Linked DNA regions of Mytilus edulis. The protein of the gene in region 1 purifies or fractionates together with the protein of each later gene. This does not show direct contact. Links are inferred from orthologs where the notes say so. Each region holds a gene or a part of one and is shown in the gene's direction. Other genes may lie near its edges. The genes, in order: structural maintenance of chromosomes protein 2-like, E3 ubiquitin-protein ligase HECTD1-like and condensin-2 complex subunit G2-like.

Region 1 (10,288 bases):
AAACAAAAAACAGCAAGAGTAAGTTTATATTGTATGTGTTATTATTAACAAATTAATGAAAATTTTATCAATTATTGTTAAAAATGGTCAGTGGCAAATATTACATGCATATTGCAAACAAGAACAAGGATGTAACATAAACATTTATATAATCTTGACAAATCTTTGACTTTGGTTCACAAAGGGAAAAGGCTACCCTACATGTATGTGTTTAAAAATGGTTACTTTCAAATCCTGCATCTTAATTAAGTCTTCGAAAATTACTGTTTGTTATGGTGTCCTTCATTTTATCTCTTGATATTTAGCAAAAAACCTATTTATACAAATATTTCAATAAACCCACTATAAGTTTAAGTTTTGTTGATATATATGTTAAGAATCAAGCAATAGTATATATATATATATATAAATTAGTCGAAAAGATTATAACCCTAAAAAGTAATAATATGCTTAACTGGGCTCATTGTTGAAGGTCGTACAGTAACATAGAGTTGTTAATTTCAAAGTCATTTGGTCTCTTGTGGAGTGGTCTCATAGGCAATCATAACCACATCTTTTTTTTTGATATATTAAAAAGTATTAATACTTAAGTACAAAACATATAATAATTTTTTTACTATACATGCATATAAGAATTATATTTGATTGTGTTTAATTTCATGTACCTCATTTTGCTTTTAATAGATAAATATGGGAGTTTTGATGAAAAGTGAGCAATACAACGAAGATATGACAGACATTTGTGAATTTATGCACAAGTATGTACCTGGACACAATGAAACAGATGACTGGACAAAACAGCCACAAAAAGTCTTGAGTGGAGGAGACTATTTAACTTTTGAGAGATACAAACAGGCACAGTCATCCAAACGAAATGGTCGAACTCCAACAAAAAGATTAGAGGGACTGGTACCTAAAATGGAAGAATTTCACAACCAGGGAGAGTTGCTAAAGGTAATGTCTACAATACTCTAAGATGCATGATTTTTTATTAGTTGTTAGTGGCTTTGAACTAGCTGTCAGATAACTGAGAGTACTCTCAGAAATGTTCCTAGGGTCTTTTTGTTGTCGGGATGTACAAGTACCTGGCCACGTCTAATTGTATTTTTTCCATCTGATGAGTTAAGCCTTTTTCAACTGATTTTTATAGTTTGTTCTTATGTTGTACTGTTATACCACTGTCCCAGGTTAGGGGGAGGGATGGGATCCCGCTTACATGTTTAACCCCGCCACATTATTTATGTATGTGCCTGTCCCAAGTCAGGAGCCTGTAATTTAGTGGTTGTCGTTTGTTTATGTGTTACATATGTGTTTTGTTTTACATTGTCAATACGGGGCCTTTTATAGCTGACAATGCGGTATGGGCTTTGCTCATTGTTGAAGGCCGTACAGTGACCTATAGTTGTTAATGTCTGTGTCATTTTGGTCTCTTGTTGACAGTTGTCTTATTGGTAATCATACCACATCTTCTTTTTTATATCTACATAAGAAAGATAATTTGAAATAGATTAAGTTGTAAGTTGATATTTATTTTGAATATATTTTTTCAGAAAAACACTTTTATTTTTTGAGAAATGCATATTTTTTCATTGTTAAACCCGTAATCTGTCTGATTGTTTCAATTTCAGGTCATTTGGAAGTTGCTCTACTCAACCTCGTCAGCTAGAGACCAGGGAACTCTGTATGCAGCACGCAATACCATAAATGCAAGAAATGTTACCCAAGATCCGGCTGATGATTTTTATGCAGCTTCTGATCTTGTTGAGAAAGTTACCACAGCATATATTATAACAGGTGGTCTTACTCATTTTGGAATGGAAAGTATAGACTCTTTACCCTGTAAAAATGTGTATGAGGGTGCAGTTGGGAATACAAATGAAATGAAAAAATATATTTTTGATCAGGCACGCTCGTTTGTTAAGACATTCACATTGCCAGAAATACCAAAACTTCCAGAATATGGGCCAAATTGCAATACGTATAATTGTAGATACTGTGGAAAAAAGTACAAACAACCACATTCCCTCAGAAAACACGAATCCTCCATTCATGGTCATTATGACCCCCTTTTTGCTAAGGAAAAAGTATCAAGTGGCAAGGATAACGAAAATGAATCTGATGGAGTTAGTGCATATACAAAGTTGGTTTTAACATTGGGTTTATTACGAATGGATCACAACGATGCAATTCATATGGGTGATGGATCAAGGATGTTGAGAATTGACCAGTTCCTTGTTTTGTATTATAAATATTGTCATTGTACAAAATACGCCTTTGGTACTTTGGAAACTATAGCCCAAACTGAAGTTCTGTTAACAGAACGCCAGGCACACAGACTGATATGGAACAGAACTGTAAAACATAAGGGGGACGCAAACACAAATCATCCTAATGATTTAGATGTAGAACATTGTAATAAGGTATTTAAAGATTCTGCCCATAGTTACAGAGGTGTTTTTACTGAGAAAGTGGTTTCGAGAGTCAGTAAGAGTGCTATGAAAGTCCACGAAATTATCAAACAGTTTGACAAAATGTGCAACGTGCATGTTCCATCAGGACGACATAAAACATGTGACAAGGAAATTGACATTATAACTTTGGTCAGACAATTCCAGGCATGTAATTTATTCGATTTCATTCCTGGCCGATCACATTATGCCTATCCAAACATGAAGGAAAATCCCCTTACAGAGCTAGACATGGAGTTTGTTAGAGACTGGATTGGTGCTAGTTTAAAAAAGTTTCAAAATAAACATTTCTATTAGCAGAACAATTTTATTGTTTCAAAACATTTCATCATCTGAACTGTAAATGACTTGTGGTTTTCTTGTTGACGATTCTAAAACATCACTGTCACTATCACTTGAAAACATATCATCCAGTTCTGTAATGTCATTGTCATCGTTATCATCACTATCATCATTGTCCTCATTTGACATAATAGCTGTGTTTATTTTAGGGAGAACTTGATTGCAAGTGTTTGTACATACACATTCATCTTCACAACTGCATGCACATTTGCACGAGAGACGACAAATATCACAACAAAAGTGAGGTATATGTGCATGTTCAACAATTGTTTTAAATATATTTAGAATAAACGCCCGTCTACAGGTTTTAGATTTAACATATTCTTTCATAGATGGGAATATATTTTGACTTCCTAAACATCTTTTGTAAGTTAGTAGAATAGCATTGCATTGTTGTGAAGGTTCCCTACCAGCACGACCAGATTCTTGTACATAGTCATCAACATCATTAGCTGGACCATAATGTATAACTGTATCCACACCTTTTACATCTAGACCCATGCTAAAGGATGTTGAACATAGAACAACTCTAATATTACCGTTTGGATTCATGTAGGATGTACAAATAAAATCTTTTACGTCATCATCGGTTTTCATGTGGAACATGTCAAAAAGGCGATTTCTGTTATCATTTGGTCCTCCCTCTTTGAAGTCTATGTAAGCATCATGCTTAAGGGATGTTTCAAGATATTCATATACGTCTGCCATGTGTTTGATTTGCCTAAAGAATATAATCATCCTTGAAGTGGCCTGCTTATATCCTCTTAATAAATTTACTAACCATCTAAAATTGGTGCAAATATCATCTGAAGGTAAATTATGTACCCAGTATGTTACATTCTTTTTGTCGGGATTTACCATAATCTCAGTGCAGTTATCCATACAAAGTTGCTTTTTAATGACAGCTTTGGTTTCCTCTGTAGCTGTTGCTGTTAGAGCCACTACTGGTACATGACCCCCAACAAGTGAACGAATTTCGTCAAGTCGGCCATAACATGGTCTATATGCCAATTTCTTCTTCTTTTTATCTGGAAGCCCACTGAAAAAATTAAAATTAATTAATCATATTGCAATATAAATCTGCATAGGTCTCATAAAAATGCCTAAGCATTACAACGAAGTATTTCATAAGAAAAATTATGTAAGTACCATAGAAAACATATTTATAAAATCTTAATTATTGTAGATATCCAACAGTCCAGTAGCAAATATTTCATACATCTTTCAAAACATCACAATATGAATTGAAAGTTTTTAATTTGGATACCATTGGCAGAATAATCTTTCATAATAATAACAGAAATATTCAAATAAAAAGGTGATTAATTATTAAAAGTAAAATTAAATGAGAATGTTTTGAATAAATAAACATTAAATAGTTATTGCATGTACAGATATATATACATTTATAAATATATGATGTTCTTTTGTATGCATGTACTGTTTTTAAGATATACATATTTATTCTTATGTATGTTATAGCTTATGTTAGAGCGATTCAGATGATTTGTTTTTCTACTTTAGTATTATACATTATTATATGTACAAAAATAAATACTTACAACTTTTTTATGCAGTGAGCTTCATCTACAAATACTGTCTTGATAAATTTTTTCTTTGCCAAATCCAATAGTAATTTTCTTTCATGTCCAATAAGTGACTCTGGACTGGAGAAAATAATGTCAATTTTGCCATCCTTTACATCTACTAAGGAAAGATTTGTTAGGCTGTCTTCAAAATTCGATGGTGAGGTAATGTCCTTCAAATATACTGCTTTAATCCCTTTTCTATTCAATGATTGAGTCTGTGTACGCATTAAAGATGTTAGAGGCGAAATAACAAGTACAATACACATATCATTCTTCTGTAAATATTTAAATACAAAAGGTGCTATTTCAAAAGTTAGTGATTTGCCACTTCCAGTTGGAGAACAGAAAAATACATCTTTGCCTGCCAAAAAGCTTTCTACAACTTTTCTCTGGTTAATTTTGATTTCAGTAAATGACAACTTTTGTAATCCAAAATCTATTGCAGCAGATATGACATCTGTATCCATTTTGATGTAAGAATCATAAGAAAAGTGAAATTGTAATCTACTTGAGATAAAATATGGGAGAACAGCATGGGATATATACACATGACAGTCTAATTATCTATTATCAGCAGATGTGAAATAATAACCTCTTACCGACCAGTATCTGGTCGGTATAAAATGTTATTATACAAGTCCCTTTCTCCAAGGGCAATCAGTAGGCTGGCACTTATCAGTAAACATATAAATTAGTAAGAGAGAAATATTAGAAAGGGAATTGTAGCAAGTCTAAGTGCCACTAAATGTATCATTATACTATAGTCAGTTGAACTAAATTAAGCCAGCTCCCCCAGTGGCGGATGCAGGAATTTTCGAAAGGGGGGGTGCTAGCCCAGGGCAAAGGGGGGGTGCAGGGGGGGTGCAAACATATGTCCCGATTCAAATGCATTGATCGGCCAAAATAAAGGGGGGGTGCGGACCCCCGGAACCCCCCCTCTGGATCCGCCACTGTCCCCAATTGCTAGTGAATATAATGTGTCTGTTCCCACATCACGATGTTATAAAATCATGACGTCCATGCAATTTTATAATTGAATTATTCCGAATTGTCAAACGGCTCAATCCATATAACCGAAAAAGGTCCTCCTATCCAGCACGGTTGGAAAATATTTTATCCGGAAATAGTATCTCGAGTACAACCGTCAATTGTTTTGATTCGTATTATTAATGTCTTACTTCCGTTCAGTCATGCGCGTACATTATTATTTTTGAGCGCCAGTTTGAAATGAAAACAGACAGATGATTTAAAAACAACATTTACAACTTTTGGCAATGCATATTAAATCTATGGTCGTAGACGGCTTTAAGTCGTATGCTCAAAGAACAGAAATCAACGGATTTGATCCCCTTTTTAACGCTATAACAGGGTTAAATGGCAGTGGAAAATCAAATATTCTGGATTCTATTTGCTTCTTGCTAGGAATCACAAACCTTTCTCATGTAAGTTTGTTTCTTTTCATTAATGAGCAAATATTTTAATTTACACAAGCTCACACGAATGTTAACACGATGTACTGTGGATATCTTTAATCCTCTATCTTTTGGCCGTATGGCACAACTGTTCTCATTGGTGCATTTTAATAGAAATAATTTCTATCCTGGTCCAGTTGGAAGGCAAACAATTTAATGGCTTCTAAGGTCAAGACATTGGTCAAGTGATAAAAGGTCAGAGTTTACGATATTTTGGTAAACGTGCATGCCTCATGGTTTTTGGACTCGTAACGACTAACGTGTAGCCACTTTATAACGGTTAATGTGATTGGATGATCTTCAAAAATCAATAATAAAATTGCTAATAAATGATTGGATACGAAAATGTGTCAGCTATTACTTTGATGAAAAAATGCGGTCTTACTAATTAGCGACAAGAAGCGACAAGAAAACATTTTTTTTAAATTAAAATTAATTATTGCAATAAATAATAAAAGAATATGCAAAAGAAAATAATTTTAGCGACAAGAAAGTTTAAATTGATAGAAAAAAATGAAACATTATTTACATAATATTTTATCATCTATTATGAATAACAGCCAGTATTACGTTTAATTATTGTATTATGAGATTACTTTTCCTTGTGTTTTAGAACATACTATTTATCTTATAATTTGTTTTTGGAAAATGACGCAGTCATTGTTCCATAACTGCCGACCTGAACTTCATTACATTGCTCTGCCTACCGCGCTTGGTTTCGTATTTCCTATTTTCCAAACAAACTGGAACCTGCTTGTGTTATCATTATGCATCGTTGTGTAGTATTAAACCAGCCAGGACCCAGTTTACACTGGTTTTTGCTTGTATTCCACTACACTCGAACAAAGTGTTGTAGTTTGACGGGAACCAGTTTTAGAATTTGTAAACTACAAAACGTAATCGGTTATTGTTCATTCCGTTTTGGTGTTTCATACCGACTTATATGGTTTGAATAAGCTTAAGACCATTTAAACATTAATGTGATAGGTATATTAAAGATTGTTTTACAAAAGGATTGAACTGTTTTACTTTCAAAGTCGTACTATAGGGATGTCTGTCATATACGGATTTCCACTCTCACCGGTTAATTTCTTCTTTTACACGTGCTTTGGAAACTTCCTGTTTAATCGCAAGTTTTAAAATTGTTTTTGAGTGAATTAAACTTATTTTAACAATCATGAAGCGTTCCAGAATCATTTTAAAGCAGTTTCTTCTTCTCTTTGATGATGGAAAATAGGTTTTCTCAAGAAAATACCGCAAACGATCGCAGAGGAATTGAAACGTACAAGTCAAGTCGGCACCTGGTTAAATTGGCATCTAGTCAAATCGGCACCTATTCGACGTCAATTCGGCATCCAATAATATTTGATATAATATTTTCTATTCAATTAATTAATTACTGTTACCAAGTACATAGTGAATATGTTGTTGTGTATTTCGGTAAACCACGAAACGAAAGTGAATATGTAGTGTATAAAGGTAAACAACGAAGCCCTTACCAAAGCTGTTGTTTTAACAATTAGACAATTACACTTAGACAATTTGTGTAATTGTAAAAACAAGTCAATTATTAAAATAAAATGGAAAACTATGAGTCCCTTTCAATAAATCAAACTTTCATGCCAAATAATTAGCAAATTTAAGGTGTTTGTTTTTCAGTAAAGTTTAAACAGCATTAAACCAACAATCCTGTAAAATGCTCAACTGGTTAAAATAATGCAGAAAAATACACAATATCTCATGTATTAGTCCAAATAATTATGACGTCTGGCAAGGCTATTTTATTATTTTTCTGGGACGCCTTCCTACGACGTTCAGGTGCCAATTTAACTAGGTGCCAGTTTGACTAGAATTCTTTGACAAATGTTTGAAACTATCTGAGTTTCATTAGACCTTTGATAGCAGTAACAAAAAGATTATTTACTTAATATTTTGTGGGAGAAGGGGGTTCAGACTGTGTGGCATCAGGTCTGTTTGTGCCCAATACATTTTCGCACCCTACACGTTCGCACATTCACACTCTACTCATTCATGCCCAATTTTAATTCAAATTCAAGTTGAATAATTGGAAAATTATGGTTGTTGTTTTAAATTGCTTTGGTGTAAATACTGAATGTATTTATAGCTTGGTATGAGTAAAACATTGAAGATTTTAAAGGAAAAAACACAAAAGATAATTGTTTTTAACAGCTTGGTCCCATTGATCTGAAACAACGAAACAATAAAACATAGAAACCAAAATATAGCAATCCACTAATATAACCAAAACATGATAAAATTTATTCAACACGCAGAAACAAACATAGTCAGAATCTCACTTCATTTTGAAACAAGTCAATGAAACAAGTTATAGCAATACACTAACCAAAACATGATTAAGAGTTATTCAACACAAAATAAAACGTTGACAAAATACCACTTTATTTAGAAAGGATTATTATTATTTTTAGCAATACCTTATCCAAAACATAATTAAGATTTATTCAACACAAAAAAAAAAATTGCTGTCTCACTTTATTTTGAGACAATGACAACAATTATACTTATAAGAAAACACTTGCTTACATAGTTATTAAACACAAAACCAATTAAGATTGGGTGTGAACATGTAGGGTGTGAAAGTGAAAGGGGTGAAAATGAGTGGGCGCAAACTTGAATGGAAGCAAACGGACTCAGATTCAGACTATGTACCAGTGAGAAATATACAAGCCTTTCTACGGTATTTATTTGTACAATTCAGCTAGTCTTGACCTATTCATTTGTCTTAAAAAACCAGCCAGTTGTCACCTTCACTTCACACACACACACATATACGAATATCAATTATATGCTTACGATACATGTTGCATTGTTAAACTAATTACGGTATGTGAAAATCAAGACTTGCATAAAAACTATCCCTATATTAGAGACAGTGGCGTCATTTTTCTTCAGAGCTTTCAGCTCTTTGATTTAAAACTCTTTTTGTGCAAGATATATTAAGCTCGCAAAATGAATTATTTGTGCATCATTGTCCTGAAAATATTGACACAAATTTTGAAATACAAAGAACTGAAATCAAACAGGAGGAAAAGAAATTGAAATGTAAATGTTTTACACTTAGAGCATAGTATTAAGCAAATGAATCCGTGAAAATATTATATTCCATTAGGCCAACTAAAATTAATTAGTAGATTTTCATCCACATTTTTGAAAAAAATGGGGCGGGTGGGAGGATTTTATTTTTTAATTTTTATTTCAAAATTTGAAACAGGAAGTTTGGAGGGAAACACAATTTTTGACGGTTACCGGAAACGGAGATGAACAAATCCGGAAATCGAAAATTTTTCAAAATAACAAAAATCGGGGCGGGACGATTTCAGAGGGGCGGGCGGGGATGAAAATCTACCAATTAATTTTAATTGGCCTTATGCCCGCTCCATATATATCTCCATTCGATTATTCATACTTTGACTTTGATGAAAACAGATACATACATTATCTTATACATATTCTTCATATTTAAAAATAAAAAAAAAAGAAGCTCAATCTCTTTCTTCTTCACAAATGTTAAATTTCTTCATCTACCAATATACTACAGTGTTCCAGCTAGCATGAAATGGAGGGGCTCCGCGCCCCGCCCCCGAAATTTTGCGCCCCTCTGCATTTTTTAAGGGCCCCTCTGTGCCCTTTTGAAAAAAAGTTAAAAAAAACCGATCTTTTTTCATCATATCGTCGCCATTTTGTTGAGTTCTTTATACACACACTTCATTAAGACAACAGATTAAAATTGTTGACACTTGTTACCTGTATATAATCACCTATTTGATTGGAGTCAATTACTTAATCGGGTGAAATTTACGACCCTGTCTAATCCCTTTGCCCTGAAGCACCAAACATCGAAGTTAAATGAATTGATTATTTTAACACCTGACGATGCAAAATAGAATTTATAAAATAAATGTGAACGGTGTTCATTTCTAATGTATTTGTTATTTATAAAATAACGTTCATTTAACACGCAAAATGCCGACGAAAGAAAAAAAAATTTGACCAACTCGGAAATGACAAGAAGAAAATATCAAACACTTGTCAGTCTATTACATCTTTTTTCAAAAATAATGACCATCAAAAGTAAAAAAATAATTTGATTCTTTACCTTTATGAAAAATCGAGAAGAAGAAAGGTTTCTATCAAATATCGCAATTGTTCTTCTATTGTAAATTCCGCCGATTACGGAGCACTCGAAAGTCCGATTTTTATATAATTTTTTCTTAAATTGAAGTTCGTTTTGACTAACTTTAATATTGATATTATTAAATACGCTCAACATGAAGAAAACAGAGATGCTTGTTGAATTGATAATAAACTTACAAAATTGAAATAATTTATTATTGTGCCGATTACGGAGCTCTCGAAAGTCCGATTTTTGTATCAA
Region 2 (11,116 bases), on another chromosome or scaffold:
TTTTTTTGTGATAAAATTGTACAAGTAGAGCCAAGCCAAACTTCCAAGCAATATCTTTGTATTTATAAAAAGAATTAAAACATTTAGGACAAGTTTTAAGTTATCCATGATTCCTGGTATCAACAATCCCCGACTTGATACTTTATCAGTTATGCATATATTATCGCATTCATTCAAGTTCAAAACGTCACTGAATACATACGGGCATAGACATTTTCTAAATTCAGGCAATTTTATAAATTGTCTAACGATGACGGGCGTTATATGAAATGTCTAATACATATACTTGTATGTGAGTTTTGTACAAGTAAGTACCTATTATCCTATACAACCAAAATGATTCTCCATGAGAATCTCCACACAATGCCGAATATGGTTCTGATTCATAAATGATAGTCTTCCATCTGTATTGCCTCATGGTAACTCTTTGGTCTTTACAATCTGAAGAATTTAGGCAATAGTATAATTTATCGATGTTAAAATGTTGTAAATCAACCAAGAAGGGATAAATCACGTAAGGTTACAAACGCAAACTTGCAGGATTGCATGAAGTCAATATGAAGCGACACCGGGTGTATCGATATAATAAGCATCGCCTACAGTATGAATATATCACCAGACATGCAAAGAATTGCATCTTAGATGCTTATAAACCAAAAGGTGAAAATCAGCAGAACCATGACCATGTTTATTTTGTGAAATGTTTGGAATACACGAAAAACAAAAACCCATAATTTTGAACTTCGGGTGTTTTATCAGAAACAATATTTAGTAACAGAGCTGAATGTATCATGGTCTGGATTTTACCAAAACAATAAACAATTAATGTATTTCCCAAATAATCAGGACAGATGTGTAAAAGATCATGCCATCGAAACATAATATGAAATAGCTAATGAATTGTCTAGTTAAGGGCTGTTAATTTTCAGTAATTCTGAAGAAATTATTTTTAAACTTTAGATTCTTAAAATATTCAAGCGTTAAAATTCAGTTATTGTCGAAGATCAAAATGTTCTCAGGTTCAATATTTGCAGTAGCTCATTTTTGTCGAGCCTGCAACTTTTGTTGCAGAAAGCTCGACATAGAGATAGTGATCCGGTGGCGGCGGTCGGTGTTAGCTTACTTCTTAAAAGATTTATATTTTAGAAGGTGGAAGACCTGGATGCTTCATACTTTGTATGTAGATGCCTCATGTTACGAACTTTCCGTCAGTCACATGTCCAATGTCCTTGGCGTCATTTTCATGGTTCAGTGACTACTTGAAAAAAAGTTTAAGATTTTTTGTAATGTTAAATTCTCTCTTATTATAATCAATAGGATAACTCTTTTTGGAATGTGCGTATCTTGCAAGGTCCTCATGCCCGTCAGACAGTTTTCACTTGACCTCGACCTCATTTCATGGATCAGTAAACAAGGTTAAGTTTTGGTGGTCAAGTCCATATCTCAGATTCTATTAGCAATAGGTCTAGTATATTTGGTGTATGGAAGGACTGTAAGGTGTACATGTCCAACTGGCAGGTGTCATCTGACCTTGACCTTATTTTCATGGTTCAGTGGTTATAATTAAGTTTTTGTGTTTTGGTCTGTTTTTCTTATACTATATGCAATATGTCTTCTATATTTGGTGTATGGAATGATTGTAAGGTGTACATGTCTAGCTGACAGTTGTCATCTGACCTTGACCTCATTTTCATGGTTCAGTGGTCAAAGTTAAGTTTTTGAGTTTTGGTCTATTTTTCTAATACTATATGCAATAGGTCTAGTATATTTGGTGTATGGAAATATTTTATGATCTATATGTCAGTCGTGCAGATTTTATTTGACCTTGACCTCGTTTTCATGGTTCAGTGGTTATAGTTAAGTATTTGTGTTTTGGTCTGTTTTTCTTAATTTATAAGCAATAGGTCAACTATATTTGTTGTATGGAAGAATTGTGATCTGTACATGTCTGCCTGGCATGGATCATCTGACCTTGACATCATTTTCATGGTTCACTGATCAATGTTTAGTTTTCTTGGTTAATGTTGAGTTTATGTGACAGTTGTAATAAAGCTTTATATTTAGGACTATCAACATAATATCAATGATTAGTAAAGAAGGCGAGACATTTCAGCGTGTGCACTCTTGTTTAACTTATACATTTAATAAAATAATTTCAGTCCTTTCTATTTTTCCAAGCATTTTGTAAAATGCCTAAAATAAATTACTCAATATATAAAATGGCCGAATCGGACATCTAAAATGTCAAACTTTTTTTTCAATATCTGTAACATATACAAATTACAAGAAGAAGCAAAGGGAACACCATCATTAAAAAACAATTAACAATAATGAAATGCTGGTGGACGTTTCGTCCCCGAGATTATCCAGCCCAGTAGTCAACACTTCGGTGTTGACATGGATAACATCAAATGGTCCTTTTTGTAAATTAACTGTTGGCTAAAGTATGAATTATTCGAAACATTAAGGATTTTCTTATCCAAGGCATAGATTACCCTAGCCGTATTTGGCACAACTTTTTTTTAATTTTGGGTCCTCAATACCTTTCAACTTTATACTTATTTAACTTTCTAACTATTGTGATCTGAGCGTCACCGATTAGTCTATCATATACGAAAGCTCAAACGCGCGTTTGGTGTATCAAATTATAAGTCTGGTACCTTTGATACTTATTGTTTTTATCATTTCGAATGGATTAGCAAAAATGAAAGACAAGAATACAAAAATAGCATAGAACAATAATACAATGACAGCATGTAAAAGTACAGAGTCACGTCAAAAGGATATTCCCCCAAAAAAGACTAAACAGTAAAAGTTATATACATCAAGACAAATAAAAGAATACTATAACACGTTAGTACGATGATAAACAACGTCAGTACCCATAATTTTTACTTTAAGACCATCGTGTATTATTTGTGATGTTGATACGGAATATTTATCAACAAGGTCTTTGTACCTTCCGATGAACCTTTTTTTGAAAAAAAAGGACGACACGTTCTTTGACATACCGTGGCCCTTGTTCATCAACTTTCTGCTCAGACACTGGTGACGTTTTACAAAGTCTGAGTAGGAGGTGCAAGATCTTGGATACCGAATAAGCTGGGAAATGTATATCCCATATGCAGCTGAAGTGGGTACATGTTTTATTGCTACTAAGGTGCATGGGGGAAATTGATAATTTCAAAATTGAAATCGTCTCGTTTGTGATAGATTGTGGAACTGAAATGACTGTGTATGTCGAATTCTAGGTATAAGTCTAAAAATGAGGCGGAAGTAACAGTATCGATCCTGTGGGATATATTAATGGAATCCAATGAGAAAAGTTCGTATTGTTAATGGAAAGAACATCATCAATATATCTGAATGTGGAATTAATGACATGGCTTCTTTGATCTTCTTGTTTTTTTAAAGTGTCCGAAGGAACTCCGATTCATATGAAAGCAAGAAAAGGTCGGCAAGGAGAGGCACACAGTTCGTTCCCACAGGAATGCCGATAATTTGTTGAAAAAGTCTACCTTCAAATTCAACAAATATGTTGTCAATAAGAAACTCCAGCATACGGATCATGTGTTACACTGTGTAGCATGTTTTACCTTTTTGTTCACTATTTACAAAATATGCCGTATGGTATCCCAAAGTAATAAATGTATAGTGTCTTCTCCCTTCAGTAAATTTCAATAGTGTAATTTAACTCAAGTTATAACAAAATTATCATCAAGGTTATGATAAGTCTATCAAATTTATCAATTGAATTGACTTTCGAAGGATCTTTACTGCGGTTTGTCATAAACTGGGATTAACAACAATACAAAAAAAAACTGCTATGAAAGGAATGAATGACTATATCCGAATGGGAGACTAATTTCTGTCAAAATTATAACTATAAGATTAGTTATGAAATATAAAACAAGGTAATCAAGAGAAAAATACAGAATTATTAAACCATGTGATGATCATGACAAATATAACTCGAATGAATTGCCTTCCTTAGCAGTTAACCTTTACACTGAGTCCTGTTTTAAATTTGACCAAGATTGAGATTGAGAAGATTTTTATTGTTAAATGTTTAGAATAATATAGTTTTTAAAAGTTATAATAAAAAGATCTGTAACATGTGCTTGTGTTTATATATCGTCATCGACAGCGACAGTCAACATTCCTAAAGTTTAAACTTCATATAAAATAAGATGCCTTTATATCACATTACGATAAAATTGATTCTTCAGAAAGTCTTTATAAATGATAATGAAGAAATAAACAATATACATACATAATATGGCCCCAACGAGTGATGATGATCAACTGAGCAAAGATAACTCTTACAAGAATAAAATAAAGGTGCACAGTAGATCTCTTGTGCAGAAAAAAATTACTAAATAAATTATATTTCTGTTATTTATATGAATAAATATTTATTCTATTATTATATTTTATGTTATAACCTCAATCAAAAAAAATTAAAGTGTGGACGATACGTCTCACAATGTGTGGCCGATATATGTCCCATGGACGATGTGGGGGTATGGCCGACACATCCTATGGCCGTCGCGTCTCGACGTAGTCTCAGATATTTGTTAACAAACAAATTGTATATATTCAATTTTATTTTAATGTAGTATAACTGAGACTAGTCTCCGAGTATTATAAATGAACTATTTAATCCTTTTTCATGATTTACAGTTTGTACATCATTGTTTTTATTTATCAAAACAAAAGTAAACGTTTGTTGTTATCAGAGACATATATACACATATCAAAAATTTAGTAAACTGGTCAAAACATTTACTAAATTTTATCACCGGTATAAGGAAATAATTCGTAAATATAACTCAACATTCAGACATCTTATACGTTCAGGTATTTCACATCCAAAATTTTATGGAAATATTCTTTATAAAGCACAAAAATGTCAGTATTCTCCTCAGAAACTAACAAAACCTTTAAATAGACTTATTAAAAGGGGATATAGTTACGATACTGTTGTCAGGTCATTAAAGATTGCATATTTTGGCTTTAACATTGATTCACTGATAGGGTCTTTGCATCGGAACTAAACACATTTATTTCTAAAAAAACAGTTGTTGGCATGACACGGGTTATGTTCTTCTCATATATTTTATGATAGTATGATACTAAACCCCTAACGGGAGGGATTGTACCTGATATTCATATGATGAAGACATAATCTTTCAATCAGTTTAATTGAGGTCTGGAGCTGGCATGTCAGTTAACTGCTAGTAGTCTGTTGTTATTTATGTATTATTGTCATTTTATTTATTTTCTTTTGTTACATCTTTTGACATCAGACTCGGACTTCTCTTGAACTGAATTTTAATGTGCGTATTGTTATTCTTTTACTTTTCTACATTGGCTAGAGGTATAGGGGGAGGGTTGAGATCTCATAAACATGTTTAACCCCGCCGCAATTTTGCGCCTGTCCCAAGTCAGGAGCCTCTGGCCTTTGTTAGTCTTGTATGATTTTAAATTTTAGTTTCTTGTGTATAATTCGGAGTTTAGTATGACGTCCATTATCACTGTATTATTATGCATATTTTAGGGGCCAGCTGAAGGACACCTACGGGTGCGGGAATTCTCGCTACATTGAAGACCCATTGGTTGCCTTCGGCTGTTGTTTGCTCTATGGTCGGGTGGTTGTCGCTTTGACATATTCACCATTTCCTTTCTCAATTTTACATATATATGTCTCTGTTGTTATTATTAATCCATCAAAAGACAAGTATCACAACAATCAGTGAGAATTATCAAGTCATTGAACAATTAGTTAATTAAAATTATCCTAAACTAGCCAACAACTTTTAAATATTTCCATGTTTTCATAAATTTCAAGAATATAAACCATATAATTATCTGAATATCAACTCCAATACCCTGGTTTATTTTTTTTTAAGTAGGGCGAACGAACTCAGAGCAAACGGACCCAGGACGAACATGTTATTTGGGCGAACTGACCCGATACCATGAAAGGGTTGCAATTTGTGCCCATTATAGGGGGGGGGGGGGGGGGGGGTAGGAGGGGTCCTGATCCCGAAATCCCGGGCTTAAAAACACGAAATGCCGAGGTCCCGAATTTAAATAAAGTTAAATCCCGGATCCCGAAATTTGAAAAAAAAAATTCCCGGATCCCGAAGTAGTAACTCCCGAAATCCCGAGCTTAAAAACACCCGATCCCGGAGTCCCGATAAAGGTCTTATCCCCCCTCATTGTAGGAAAGCCAACAACTTGTCAATAATATTGTCGAAAGTACATGTATATTAAAATGTTGTCCATGAGAAAAAAATTAACGTTTTTTCTTTATTTCTGTAGAGGGTGGAAAAGTCAAAACTAACAAATGATTTGAATAGACCACCAAGTGTCCGTAATCCATTTAAAACATTCAAGTTTTTCACATGGTGACAAAAAAATGCTGAATTTAAATACAATTTTCTCGTGTTTTTTTTTAAAAGTGGATATGTTGTAAAAAAAGTAAAGAGAAATGTTGAAAAATGATGAAGTACAATTATTTTAGGAAGCTTTTATTTGTTTGTTTACAAAGCAAAGATTAAATTATAATCCGCGGGAAATTAACTTTTTAGCCATTTCCGGTGTTTAGATTATGAACCGGATGTTGCGATCACAACGAGGCTATAAATAGTTTATGAAGGTGAAGAGCAAAACAAAAGTGCCTTCCTTTGTTTCTTTTAATAACTAAAGTAGTAGATAGCTTAGTGGAAATGTTTTGAAATTTCTGTAAAAGGACACAAGAGTTTGTTCCAGTCCATGTGTTCAGTCATTTGACACGGAAGAAAGTCCGAAGGTTTCAAGCTGTATGATCGGATAATTTCCTTGCGTCGAATGCATGCACTTTCGAGTGCTCATTCATTAGTCACAAAGAATTTCCGTGTCACTTATTGTACTCATAAACGTGATAGGTTGGAGTAAAGTTATTTATCTGAACTTACCAAAAAAGGGGGTTACCCTGCTGGGGTTTCAACCTTAGAGGTCTAAACTAAGTTTAGACAAAGGTAAGCCAGACCAGACCCCCAGACACAATGGCAGACTTTGACCCAGAGACGTTGTTAGAATGGCTGCAAATGGGACAGGGAGACGAAAGAGATATGCAACAGATTGCCCTAGAACAACTGTGTATGCTGTTGTTGATGTCTGACAATGTTGACAGAGTATTTGAAAGGTAAAATTTATATAATTTATTCATGCAGTGTTCTCCCCAGGACCTTTTCATATCATGGTTATGTGATAATATCTGCAATGGTTATCTTATCAGTCTTCACGACGAGTGGCAGCCCAGGCTGGTAAAATTGCTCTCAGGCCTGTAAAAATCAGACCTACAGGCCAACAGAATCTAACTAAAAAAATTTCAAAAATTGAGCTGTAGGCCTGTAGATTTAGCAGTTCAGCGTGAAGACTGTCTTATAGGTTGTGTTATGGGTGTGATTCTATATTTTTTAGATACATGATGGTGTTTCGATTTCCCCTGTTACCCAGGATGCTACATGAAATATCTGGGGATAACACTGTAACATGTACATGTATAACATATATTATAACCAAACTGAATATATTGTCACATGTAGAACTACATGTCAATGTGCATGAAATGTATGTTCTATGTCTTTTATGTTTTATTATTAGTATTGTGTATGATTATTATGTAAATGTATGGATATGTCGGTTATAAAAGCTCTCTGTTTATTTGTTATGTATCATGCCAACTATAACTAAAGCTTTGAATTGAATTAAATGAATTGAGTCACTGTGACAGAAATAAAACAAAGTTTGGAAGCTTATGTGTAATGCTGCAGTTGGAAGTTGAAAGCGAAAGTACATGAAGTAGTGGCATTCTGATAAGGCTTAAGAAATTTCATACAATGTACATGTCCAGGTACTTAAACTTTCAAATACATGTACATGTACATTTTAGATACCCTAAAAATTGTCAATGTTCTCATCATGGCTGAAATATATTCTGATCAATCCCTGAAATCGGATATACAGTGGAAAATAAATTTGAATTGAGGAAAAATAATTCAAAGTGAAAAGGGTTACATGTACATGTACAATCAAAATTAACTAAACCACAGCAAGACAGGAAAGTCAGTTGTGGTACAGGCACTAGTAAATATAACTATATGCAATTTAGCACGCTTCTCCTTGTTTTTCTATGAAGTAACACAGTTTTAACATGGACATAAATTCTTACTCGCACAATTTAAAAAAAAGTATATTGCAGTATTGCTGCTCTCTTCACTTGTCATGCTTGTAGAGCAGTCGCCTTAAAGAAACTCATTGGTCAAACAAAAATAAATTACAATCAAACAAATTTTGCTTGCTTGCCATATATTTTTTGGAGCATTTGTCGAAAGCACTACAAATCAAATTGGTGTGGCCTTATGTCTAGAAAATCAGACATCTTTTGAAGGACAGGTCTATTAAAGTTTTAACTCTATAATTCTGTGTTAACATGTACATGTACATGTTTTTAAGAAACTGTTTTTTTTTTCAGCTGTCCACCAAGGACATTTCTCCCAGCTTTATGTCGTATCTTCTTGGATGAATGTGCTCCAGACAACGTGCTTGAGGTGACAGCAAGGGCCATTACTTACTACTTAGATGTATCGGCAGAGTGCACCAGACGTATTGTTGCTGTAGATGGCGCTATTAAAGCTTTATGCAATAGACTGGTGATTGTTGAAATGTCATCAAGGACCAGTAGAGATTTGTCTGAACAATGTATAAAGGTACATGTAAATGCTTATGAAAATCACCCATGTTTTTCACCATGTTTAAATTTACATTATTTATAAATGGTTTTTGCCAAGTCTGATCCCTTTTAATTTTATATCAATTGTATTTGAAATTCCTTATAACCACATTGTACATGTATGAAGTTTAACAGGTACCCTTGGAATTACAATGTTACAGTCAGACTTGATAAATCCGTCCTAGAATTAGAATTATAAGGTCTTCTTTAGATAATGTTACATGTACTGTACATGTAGGTAAATCAGTGCAATAAGTGTTTAAAATGTCTTGATATCATTATGTTAAAAAAAAAAGTTGTAAGTTAAGCTTTTGAAGTATTTCATTCTTGCCAAATCCAATGAATTAAGTGAAAATATGCATATGTAACTGTGATGAGTGACATTGTATTTTTGTTACATTTGTAATTTACTGTTGAGTATTTTTTCATGTTATGCTGTGATAGACCCTGATTATGAAGCATCTGTTTTAAATCCCTTTCTTCAGAGATTTGAATAAGTCCTGTTGTTTATTTTAGACAATAAGCCTTGATTAAATGTGATAACTAAACTTAAATACAATGATTACATTGTTGTACATAATAAAATTGGAGAACAAGTTCTTGTCAGTTCATTAACCTTATATAAGACAGATAACCTTTTTGATTTGGCCACAAGATTGATATATTATTTATTTTACAAAAGATTTTGTTTTATTAATCCTTTTTAGTAATTACATGTAGTAGAATGTGAATTTCATAAAATTTGTAAATATACAATTCTTTTACTGAGTTTACTATTAAAAAGTCCATTAACATTTAAAAAAAAACAAAAATAACCAAACAAACAAAAAAACCTACCTTTTGGGCACAATCTTTTTTTTATGGCACTCTGGCTTTGGCATACAAACATTTTTTTAAATATGTCCCTACACCAAGATTTGAAATACCTAGAAAGAAGTCTATTATATAATTTGTAATGAACAATTATCATAATTTTTATTGATTTAATAAAAACTACAAATCCAACATGCATCGTTTAAGTTTTATTTTTCGTCATATTTCATTATATTAGTTATAATTATGAGTTTAACTGCTTGAGATTAATGGATGAATAAATGTCTTGAAAAAATTTATTAACTTTTTAGTAGACTACTAGGCACTATGTTAGAGTTCATCATTTGTCCCTCTGTCCTCAGTTTTTAAATAGAACTTTACATGAATCACCATTCTAACTATATTCTATAGGTTATGGAGAGAATGTGTACCAGAGAATCAGGAGCTGTCTTTGATGCTGGAGGACTACAGTGTGTTCTCACCTTTATCAGAGAACATGGATCACAGGTTCATAAGGATACCTTACACTCTTCAATGTCTGTAGTTTCTCGTCTCTGTGGTAGGATGGAACCCCAAGACCAATCCTTGGAGACTTGTGTAGAGTCACTGTCTACTCTTCTAGAACATGATGATCAATTTGTAAGTCTATATATTTTACGACCAACTGGAAATAATAGCCAATCTACTTGCATAATAAATTGAATAATGCATTGGGCGTGGCCTCCAGGGTTATAACTTTATACAAATCCCTTTAAATTTTATAATGTTCAAATATCATTAAAATAGTTGAAGTACCTAACTTCTCAGACATTTTAATTTTTATGAAAATGTGCCAAAGAGACAACAACCCCAACAAAGAGCAGAAAACAGCCCAAGTCCACCAATGGGCCTTCAAGCTCAAAAATGTAGTATGGTTGAACATGTTTTGTGAGATTTTGACCCTCCCCCTTTACCTTTAGCCAATGTAGAATAAACACACACACAGCAATACATTGTACCATGGATAAGGACATTTTACCGTGTTAAAATGACAGTGTTAATTATCATGATCATTATATAGAAACTTCAAGCATTTCATATAAAAAAGCATGTGAGAATGCTTACATATATAAAGTGAAGAGATGAAGTAGGAAAGACATACTGTACAAATTTAACTTTTGGTTAAATCATGTAATACTTGTATGTTTAAACAGGTAGCAGATGGAGCCTTAAGATGTTTTGCATCTTTAGCTGATAGATTTACCCGTAAAGGAGTAGATCCTGTTCCACTAGCTCAGCATGGACTTATAGATGAACTTTTACAGAGATTACAGAGAGCAGGGGAAACCAGTCACAATGTTTCCTTAGCTAGCACTCCAGGAGCAAAAACTCCAGAATCAAAGTCGAGTCCTAGTATATCAACTGTCATAAGTTTACTATCCACCTTATGTCGGGGTTCACCAGGTATAACCCATGACCTTTTGAGGTCAGATCTTCCTGATGCTATTGAAAGTGGACTGAAGGGAGATGAAAGGTAATAAA
Region 3 (10,938 bases), on another chromosome or scaffold:
TGTGTTTGCCAGTACCGAATCAAGGAGCCTGTTAATCGGTGGTTGTATGTTGTTGCTTTGTATCATATTTGTTTTTCGTTTTTCATTTTAAACATAAATCAGGTCGTTAATATTTTTTTATATTTTCATTTCGGGGCCTTGTTTAGCTTGTTATACCGTATGGGTGTTTCTCATTGTTGTATGCCATACGGTGACCCATGTTTGTTAACTTTCGCGTCATTTGGTCTCAGTTGATGGACAGTTATCTTATTGTCATTTTTGCGGGTTAAATTGAATAGGTTGTTCTAAATAAGACGAAGATATTGGCACGTTATGATGTTGCAAATCAACTTTAATTTATCAAAGTACCGAGTGGCTATTTATCCGACCCGCATTGCAATGTGCATGTTATTTTATGTTCCGCAGAACCAAGTGTCTCGCCTACTTTTGCTGTTAGTCGAAGGCTCAACAAGAAAGGGGGGGGGGGGGGTATAAGAAATAAATCTAGATACTATAAACTATATTTGGTTGTAAGAAGATTCTTAGAAAAACTATGTACATTAGTAAGTACATGTAGTTAAAAACAGATGACAGCTAGTTTAAAGGCAATAACAACCAAAAAAAAAAACATGCATCTAAGACAAAATTATCAATCAGTACATATTATACACATCCAACATTCAGTTATGGATTTACGTGTAAAGACGCAATAAACAGTCAGAGATAAACATGACATAGTGCAATAATGCCGAGATACAAGTACCAACAGATTGGGGAGCCATGCATATTTTTTTAACAATGATATTTAGTTTGATTTAAATTTACCGATAACAAAATCAATATTAATACCAGTAAAAAAAATATTCAAAGATCTAATTACAATGTTGAATTGGTAACCTTTTCGATAGTTCATAAATTTATCTGGTTGGTTTTTAAATTTCCGGGCTCGGAAAACAGTGTCTCCATAAAATAAGGATGTGATATCCCGTTTGAAATAAGTTTTCTATAGGTACAACCAAACTTCAAAAATAAATCTTTATATCTATGGACGAATTTAGTATAGGTTTGAAGTACATGTAATATACGGAAGATCAGGAAATCTTTTTTTTACAAAATTTACTCCTAGATTCAAGCTTTTGATCATAAATAAGCTTCTGTCCAAGTTTGATAGAAAATCAGGATTACCGAATGACAATAAAGTAATACAAAAGCACTTTTAAGGATTAACAAAAGAATAACACAGTACGTGTAACACAAATATGTCGTTTAAGTTTTAAGTTGAATAGGCGCTAATTGAAATGACTAAAGGAATTAATTATTCTTTACGTAAGAAAACTAAGAATTATGCTAAGATGTGACTTTATCTATTATTTACAAAAAGAATTATCTTGAAACTTTCCGATTAGATTGATTTTAACCATATTTCACCTTCGAAATTTCTTTTCTGGTCTAAGTCATTAATTTTGCAGTTATTGTTGCTATATCGGCGTATAGTACATTTTTAATATAAAAAATGTATATTTAGCATATTTATAATTCTTACATTTCCAAACATAAGATGATACTAGCTTGCAATAGATATCATTATTGTGACATAACACGTTGGTAAAACATGACTCCATTATTATTTATTTGATTTTAACTATTTATTAATTATTAATTGCCTTGAGTATGTATACAATATCAACGAGAGTGATTTTCTCCATTTTAGAGCTTAAAATAAGTTGTCCACCTTATCCCTCGTAAACCTAGTAACATATTGACCATCATTTCGGTGATTTGTAGTTTCATTTAAAATGTATTCCCAACTAGTAACTGTATTGCAATGTGGGTGGATCGAGTCTGAGCAAGTATGGTATAACCTTATCCATCATATAGATATTTATACAGATAACTGTTTAAGTGAGTTTGTGTTGTTGAAATGTTTTACATACATGTATATTTATCCTTCATTCAATTTCTATAGAAAATAATCAGACCGCATTTTTAGCTGATCTCTAACTGAAAAAAATACAAAATTAATATTTCACAAAAGAAGGGCAAAATTATTTTCAATATAACAAATGAATTTTATGAACTGTTATGATCATTGATTTCAGAATTTCCCACTTAAAACATTGTAAACTTTCCTGGCTAAATCGTCAAAAGAGTTTTTAGAAGACTTTGTCCACTTTCTTCCGTATCTACTCCATGAGTTGCCGGTGACCACACCTCTGACTGGCCTTATATCCGGCTGATTAGAACATCGCACACCACTTATGTTAGACAGCCTATCAACAAGTGATTGGATATCTTTGGATTTCATTTTTTTGTCTCCAGTGAATTTTGCTTTAGCTGGCATCAAACTGTGTTCTTTGCAAACATGATCATGTGCAGTCGGACCTCTGATTGTATATCCGGTTTCTTCTTCTGGTTTAGAGAGTCTGTCACAAGATTCCATTATCTCAAAATGAGACATTGTTTTCGATGAGTAACGTGTTCTGTTTTTGTACCCTACCTTTCCATGTTGTCGGTGTTCCTGTTCTTCTTTCTCGGAAAAGGTATTCGAATGTGTTAGTCCTGTTTCCATGTTCTGCATTTCACATAGATAATTTCTATAAACAATTATGTTCTTCTGTGTTAATTGCCTCAATATCGACAGACAAATTTCAGCTATATATTATTGTAAATCTATTTCTGATAAATAAATATACAATCCTTTTTAAAGTCTATTGTTTGTGCATAACTATGATCGCTAAAATCGATTTCAAATGAATATTTGACAATGATACTACATACAGAGTATTTATGAAATATTTATGCTTGATTTTAATTGGATTATTAAACAATAATCAATTGCTAGCAGGCAATGCCTTTAAAATAATATGTGTATTTCTGTTTACATTAAAGATATTAAATTACAAATATTGATATGGTTTTTTGAAAGAATGACACAAAATGTCAGAATTATTAAAGGAGTAAAATGGTAGGTCATCTTTAAAAAGATAAACTGTCACGATTTATGATATATATACCGAGATTAACAAGCAATAAACCTTGTCTTTACGACAAAACCAAACCAGCTTGATTTGTTTTTGTTTTAAGATGACATGCACAGAAATTATTCCCTCTGTAATTTTCACCTAAATGCTTGTTATTTTTTTTAAAAACTTGAATGTTTTATTGCCCTCGTGCAAACTTTACTGGGAATTCATTTTGTAATGATATTGACCAGATAGCCCCAACGTATGCATAATATATATCAATTCAATTCAATTCAAAGTTTTATTGCCATATAAACTATACAGTTTGTGACATATAACAACAACAAAAACAAATAAAGACAATAACTAAGTAACTCAATATATATACATAAATTCAGGTAAATATTAAAGGGTCCCCTGTCCTCAGTTCCATTGACTTTTTTTTATAAAGGATCCTAGTTTATTCACTTGTGTTGGTGTTGATGGGTTAAGTATATATATAACTCTATCATTGTCAGTGAGATTAGCAAATGAATTACTTTCTCTGTTAATGCAATTAAAATATGTTAATCTAATATTTGAATTATGAGAACAATTTATTAAGAAATGTTTCCGGTGATCATCTAGTACTTTGCATTTTTTGCAAAGTCTCTCTTCGCGAGGAATTTTAAAATGCCTTCCTTGAATGGTCTGATTCTAAGTTTTGTGATTAATTTTCTAAATTCAAAGTTTGGGTTAGAGAGGTAAGGATCAATAGATTTGGCTCAAGTCCTTTATAAAAAAATAATTTACTTTTATCATCAATAGATTTCAACTTATCCATCAACAGGTTGTTGTAATATGAGTTTTTTTGGGGTTTAATATAGCTTTTAATATTTCTTAATTGTTTTAAATTATTACTTATATAATAGTTCTTGTAAAACTGGTCATTATCGTGATATATGGACTACCCACAGGACGGTGGTATTGACTAAGATAGTGATAATGACTGAGCCGAAGGTTGTATCACAATAATGACCAGTTTTTCAACAACTGTTATGTTTATTTCATTGAGAAACCATGTTTTGGCAAATTCGCATAACTTCAAAACGACTAAAGCAAACTCGATTAGTTGTATTTTTTTATGGCAAAGAGTGAAGAACAGTCGTAGTAATACTGCCATGAGTTTAAGTTCAATTTTTCAGTATATATAAATACTTAATCGAGTTCTCTATAATTTTATAATTAACGAAAACATCTTATAAACAATTCAACAACTTAAATATAGTATTGAAAACAGGAAAATGTTTTATTAAAGGGACAATAAAAAGGCAGGACAGAGATTACAACTAAAAAAAAATGAAGGACAAAATTTTTCATCCTAGCCCCCCCCCCCCCCCCCCCCCCCATAAAAATCAAATGGTAGCTCCCTTAGTGTGCAAATATAAAATATGAAAACTTGACGTTCGTGACGTCACATACCAAACAATGACGTCATTCAATAAATTGCGTCACGCCCAAATGACCGTTCTATTGGACCTATTTTGAGGAAATTTTTTCTTAAGCTTACATAGATAGAACCGGACTTTCTGTATAAAAAAAAAAAAAAAAAAAAGTAGGGGTGTGATAAAGGGTATGCGATAAAGGGTGCTCATCAAAGTTGTGCGATATGGATTAAACAGCAGGCTATTTATCAAATATGCAAAACTACTGTATTTACTACTAAACATATGATAAATATAAATATTGGGCTTATGATATATATATATATAACATCTCAATACCTTATATATCATGTACTGTAGTACGACGCTAGATTAAAACTGACGTGGAAAGATAAAACCCGGCCACCGAAATCTTCATTTTTATGGAGCCCAGGTGGTCGTGTGATCTAGCGGGACGGCTACAGTGCAGGCGATTTGGTGTCACGATATTTCAGTAGCACGGGTTCGAATCCTGGCGAGGGAAGAACAAAAAATTTGCGAAAGCAAATTTACAGATCTAACATTGTTGGGTTGATGTTTAGACGATATATATATTTATCATATGTTTAGTAGTAAATACAGTAGTTTTGCATATGTGATAAATAGCCTGCTGTTTAATCCATATCGCGCAACTTTGATGCGCACCCTTTATCGCATACCCTTTATCACACCCCTACTTTTTTTTTTTTTTTACATTGGTTTTTTTTTTTTGCTTAAATTTTTTTTCCCTCAAAATAGGTAAATTTTTTGAATGACGTCATTGTTTGGTATGTGACGTCACGAACGTCGAGTTTTCATATTGAATGTGACGTCACGAACGTCAAGTTTTCATATTTTTTGGCACATTAAATGCAACTATGAAAAATACATAGCCTAAAGGCCCTTGGGCTGATATTGATGTCTCGGGATGATACGACATATGATACGGATTTTGCCATGTATTATTCTCTATATATATCTATATAGGCGATTTGGTGTCACGATATCTCAGTAGCATGGTTTCGAATCCAGGCGAGGGAAGAACCAAAAATTTGCGAAAGCAAATTTACAGATCTAACATTGTTGGGTTGATGTTTAGACGAGTTGTATATATATATATAGATACATGCTACTGAGCTATCGTGACACCAAATCGCCTGCACTGTAGCCGTCCCGCTAAAGCACACGACCACCTGGGCTTCACAATAATAAAGCTTTCGGTGGTCGTGTGTTACCTTTCCTCGTCAGTTTTAATCTAGCGTCGTACTACTACAGTACATGATATATAAGGCATGGAGATGTTATTGTAACTTACAAATCAGCTCACTAGCTATTGTTTACAAAAAGCCAATACACCACCAATCACAGGATAGATTGAGTGGTCATGACTCAAGAAGAAATATCTATTAATTGATTGCTGCACGGAGGAGGAACAATGAATGAACTTAATGGTCAGTTGGAATCAAATAAGTCCATATACAAAAGAATTCTACTACTCTACACAAATTTTCTGATGCAAATGCAATCGTCTATCATGATTATCTCAACATCAAGTGATAACAAATAAATTTAAAAACACACAAATATTGATACGATCGTTTACCAGTCAAAAACGAAAGTCAAATCTCTTTGGCATTATACATCGGAATGCCCTCACAGTCATCGCAATGTAAAAATCAGATGAAAATTAACTCATCACTGATGAGTATATATACTGAATAGAAATAGACCTACTTCTATCAAAAGCATAGTGAACGTGGACATATGGTTTTCAATAATGTTTAGAAACGCGTGCGGTCTGATTTAATTTCTATAGTATTCATAGTGTAATGCGATATATGGAATGTATCTTCAATTGTATTCAACACATATTATGTTTAACCTTTTTACTCATTGATCAGACTTCAACAACTTGACAAATAATCAGTTTTGAAGACAATCTACATGATCTAGTAGATAATTTACAAAATAATACTGACTTTTACAATTAAAAATTAAAAGTATTACCTTATACATTTTCACATCGCACAGAAAAATATTTGGTACGAGTTGGTTGAGTATGAGAGGCCGAAGCTTCAAGGTACGAGTTAACATGTATCAGATTTTGTCCCTATTTGAGACTGAATTGGTAATTGGTGAGACCCGACGAGACTGGAAACGAGAGGCGCGTTTTAGAAGATTCAAGTAATTTATCAACATTGGAAAAAAGTAAACAAAAAATTCTTGTTTTTGTTTTGTGATCTGAATATCTGTCACTGCTCCACGAATAAAAGCTGATTATAAATGATCAAAGAGCTAACTGAGAGTGTATCATAAATCATTTCTAATTTAATTTCCATGGCATAGGCCATAGTTAATCTTCAAATTATCTTTGTCGTGATGACAGAGTAATCTCTCTTGTGAATAATTTATCCTCTCTTGTAAAATTATTATCACTAATGTAGTTACTCCTTTGTACTTAGATATTGTAGGTGGCGCTTTAAAAATATTATAGAATTATATAAATGTGTTAAGTGAAAAAAAAAGAAAAAAATGGTTAAGGTTCATCATAAGGAATTGAAAAATATGGCCGTGTTTACACCTCCAAAATTACTATGAGTACAGACAAACTGGTACATCAAGGAAAGTTTTAAGGCACGGCAGGAACTAGATATATAAAAGTTATATGAAGTCTACGTTTCAGAAAATTAAAAACTTACCTGGATTTTGATGTTCATTTTTTTCCAGTCTGCAGAAGATAGCAAAATAAACAAACACCCGAGTTTCATTTGATACGGTCCACTCAGTTACACAGTTTAAACCTGTTAAATCACCTATTGTTTACAGGTGTCTATTGTCCATCTATTGTCCATTTAAATCAATACTACTCACAACATTGATTATATGACTGGAGCTTCTCAATCGTTTTCGCTACTTAGTTAATTTTTGCACCTTCAGCAGGAACGAAAAAAAATGGATAGCAAAATCTAGAAAAGTTTATAATTTTCTGAAACATAAAATGCATTTAAAATTTATATATCTAGTTCCTGCCATCCCTTAAAACTGTTGCAGGTGTATAGGTTAGTGTGTACTCAGAGTAAAATTTGGGGTGTAAATACGGCCATTTTAGCCAAAAGGTTATGATGAACCTTAATTAGGTTATCGAAATGGCTAGTCCAAATAATTATGACGCCTTGGACGGCTATTTTATAATTTTTTTTGGACGCCCTCCTGCAAATCCAAATATAAAAATACCCTCAGAAGACGGCATGATTATCTGGACTACGAAATGGCATGAAAAAATTAAAAATATTAAAAATTAAAAGAAATTTGTATTATATTAAATTATCCACTAAAATGGTTTGTTTCCTCTATGTACTCCGCATAGTCACAGCGCACAGGTACTTGTTTCTATCCATGGGCATGGGAAGACCCACTATCAACTGATCAACGTAAATATACGTTGATAGTGGTCTTCCCATGGACAGTAACAAGTGCCTGTGGCATAGAGTCTGTTCGCCCTTGGTTGTGGGGGTTATGATCACAGATTCTGCTTACTGTTTTGTTAGATTCCCGTATCCAGCTTACACTATGTACGTAAGCAATTATCATTTTTTTTGTAATTTCCTGTGTCCTGTTAGACTTCATTTCTCGTTTTCACGGCACAATAATTTGACTTTCACATGTCATGCCTACAAAAAATCAGCAATCCCGCATCACGCTTAAACCTAGTCCAAATAATTATGACATCTGGCAAGGCTATTTTAATTTTTTTCTGGGACTGCCTATGACGTCCTAATGCTGAAGCCATTTTTTACGTCTGGAGTTTGAGAGCAAATTTTGGGGGGAACTTTGAGATCTAATTTTGACATAAAATTTTCTTTGCAGGTTTAAAATTTTTACCTTTTTTGTGCTTATTGATGTAAAATATTTCCAGAAATATCTAGAAGAAATGGTAAAATAAGATACGATTCCATTTGAGTCGGGCAAATATTTATTTTGTTTCAAAAACATTTCCCACAATTATCAATGAAACCTCTCTTCCGGTAATTATAAAATATTAAAATCGGTAAGATTCATTGGACCCTAATTTCCGGAACATTCGATTTACATTATCCAGAAATTCGGGTCTTTCAAAATGTGCCGGTTTTAATATCATGAATATTTTATATTCACTCGAAGTGTCGTTTCATTGATAGTTCTGGGAAATCTTTTTTTTAATTTATGTGTTGAAAAGAAAAAGGCATTGAGTATTATATGTAAGAACACATTTCTGTTTACTCTTTTTACTGATTTGTCTACATACGATTACAAAATATATAAAAGCAAATGTCCGCATTTACACTACCAAAAAAACATGATAGCTGAAATGCGGACACAAGATTTTTTGGACAAGTGTAGTGGTGCAATGTCAATACCATGATGTGGAACATACGCAAAATTCTCTTAGTATCTATATATACAGTAATAATGCGAATCCGATACATAAATATGATATCAATAAAGATTTGGATTGATTTGTTTTTTATTTCATTCTTCATATTACAAATATTATGCATTTGGCAGTCTGATTTTTTCTACTGTCAACTGACACGTATTCTGCGGGTGTGACCCGAGAATTTCACAATTTTGAGGGATCAACCGGCACACCCGCCGGGTCATTGAAAAACCCTGGAATTCTGAAAATGACCCGTTTTCACCTGGATTTCTTAGCCTTCAGATTGATTTCATAAGTGATTTTCCCTTGAAATACCGACAAATTCGTAATTCTTCCATGTACAGAAAGTTCATCTAGCTGTGTAAACTGTCAAATTAAGTGACTCATTTAGTGCATGGCTTCACTTGACAGCTTTGGTGTCAAACACATTGTTAATAAACAAGTACCTTAGCTTTAGATCGTAAATAAAACAACTGGAGTTCCTTCCCCTTATTTGTCACCATTCAAAATTGTTCCTTAAATTTACGTTTTTGGGGTGAAAAAAGATAAAATCGAAAGCAAATAGAATGCAAATACATATTGAAAAATTACTTTTCATTATTTTTATACCTTAATAGAAATATAAAATAAATAGTTGAAATTTCTTTTTTTATCAATACTTCCTTTAACTGTTTAACTTTATTTTACTATACTCTAATTTTGATACAAGAAATTTAAATAAAAGAGGGACTTTTTATTATTATTTTTTCACCTTTCCACGTGTATTACAAATTTACGAGCGAAACCTATTTTCAGACATGCTTTAAGATTAGATGCAATGAAAGGGTATTCATGAAAGGTAATTGTATATAGTAATTTCGTTTTGAATGGCGAGAGTAGTTAAAGAAAATAAGTGTTCTCCATTTGACGACAAGGTGTCCGTATTTTAACTCCCTATGTCCGCATTTACATGACTGCGCATTTCCGCGGGTTTTAGATATTTCCAATCTACCAATCAAGAGAGGTGACATAAAAACGCGGGAAATAGTCCGTTTGATACCCCTCTATCCTTTCCTGTCCAATGCAACCACCAGTATGTCCGCAATTGGCCTCTATGGTATCCAAACTTTCGGATTTTAAAAAGTGTCATCAATTAGACGAATCTCCCCTATTGTATTTTAATGTATGAATGAATGAATGTTAACTTTATGCATGTATTTTGTGTGAGGGCCTCAATGAAAATTAGACTAGTTCTAATTGAGTTACCCTCTTTAGATAAAGAATTTATTATTATTATTATTATATTCATTGGGGTGTAAAACGTTGACCAAATATAAAAAAGCAAAGTTCATTTTGTATGATGCGCGGAAGCACTTCATTCTAAAAATGTATGCACGGTCAAAGCTTTTACATCCCTATGAAATTACTTAAAGAAGCATTCAATGGTATTTGGTATGCATCTGTATTACCATTGGCACATCTCATTTCTATGGAGATTGATTAGCCTTCAGTCATGGTTCATTGACTTTAATTTTTATCATACATTGTAACAAACAGAGATGCAACTAATCGTCGGACCTGTCAGACCTAAGGGGCAGAATTTATGCAGGTCCGGCAAAACTGGTTGCTGTGCAGGACCTGATGGCCGGCAATATTTTAGTCTGCTTGGGTCAGCCAAAACTTAATTCCCCGTCGGTCCTGGCAGAGTATTTTGTTTATAAAATTGTGAATTTACAACCACGTTGCATGATTAGATAGAACAACATTCAAGGCTTCGATTACATAATAGAAATCGGGAGTTCAAACTGTTTTAATGATAACTATTATAGCCTGACACCTTCCAAATATCCTTCCTTAAAAAATGAAAATAAAACCTTTTGCAGTATAAATTTCAGTTTTGAAATCGTATGTTTGACATTGTTAATTTATTGAAATATTTATATCAAACGCAGTTATTTAGTTGTAACAGAGAATACACACCATTGGTTTGAAAAATGACGTAACTTTAACCTCCGTAGCAGAGTTCAAAAAATCTATGGGTCACTGAATATTCACAATATATTTTATTTTTTAAACTTTTCTTTCAAATTAGTTTTAATCCAGAAAAAAGTAAAAACATTGCCTGACTGTACCTTAAGTTGAATATCTATATCCAAAT

What was found.
Region 2: the proteins of structural maintenance of chromosomes protein 2-like (region 1) and E3 ubiquitin-protein ligase HECTD1-like purify together in Homo sapiens (affinity purification with mass spectrometry; 3 studies listed by BioGRID, with this or other methods). This does not show direct contact. The link is inferred for Mytilus edulis from reciprocal best matches to the Homo sapiens genes SMC2 and HECTD1.
Region 3: the proteins of structural maintenance of chromosomes protein 2-like (region 1) and condensin-2 complex subunit G2-like purify together in Homo sapiens (affinity purification with western blotting; 4 studies listed by BioGRID and IntAct, with this or other methods). This does not show direct contact. The link is inferred for Mytilus edulis from reciprocal best matches to the Homo sapiens genes SMC2 and NCAPG2.

Annotation. Positions count from the first base shown.
Region 1 is NC_092344.1:125,105,909-125,116,196, reverse strand, and holds the start of structural maintenance of chromosomes protein 2-like, read left to right. Parts: upstream 1-5,583; 5' UTR 5,584-5,673; coding exon 5,674-5,841; intron 5,842-10,288. Other genes in the region: uncharacterized protein, read left to right, coding at 1-18, 685-954, 1,629-2,765; probable ATP-dependent DNA helicase RecS, read right to left, coding at 2,784-3,849, 4,373-4,866. UniProt on the Homo sapiens protein: Central component of the condensin complex, a complex required for conversion of interphase chromatin into mitotic-like condense chromosomes.
Region 2 is NC_092346.1:80,549,785-80,560,900, reverse strand, and holds the start of E3 ubiquitin-protein ligase HECTD1-like, read left to right. Parts: upstream 1-6,623; 5' UTR 6,624-7,052; coding exon 7,053-7,192; intron 7,193-8,524; coding exon 8,525-8,759; intron 8,760-10,006; coding exon 10,007-10,234; intron 10,235-10,788; coding exon 10,789-11,108; intron 11,109-11,116. UniProt on the Homo sapiens protein: E3 ubiquitin-protein ligase which accepts ubiquitin from an E2 ubiquitin-conjugating enzyme in the form of a thioester and then directly transfers the ubiquitin to targeted substrates.
Region 3 is NC_092345.1:41,427,542-41,438,479, forward strand, and holds the start of condensin-2 complex subunit G2-like, read left to right. Parts: upstream 1-6,468; 5' UTR 6,469-6,592; intron 6,593-10,938. UniProt on the Homo sapiens protein: Regulatory subunit of the condensin-2 complex, a complex which establishes mitotic chromosome architecture and is involved in physical rigidity of the chromatid axis.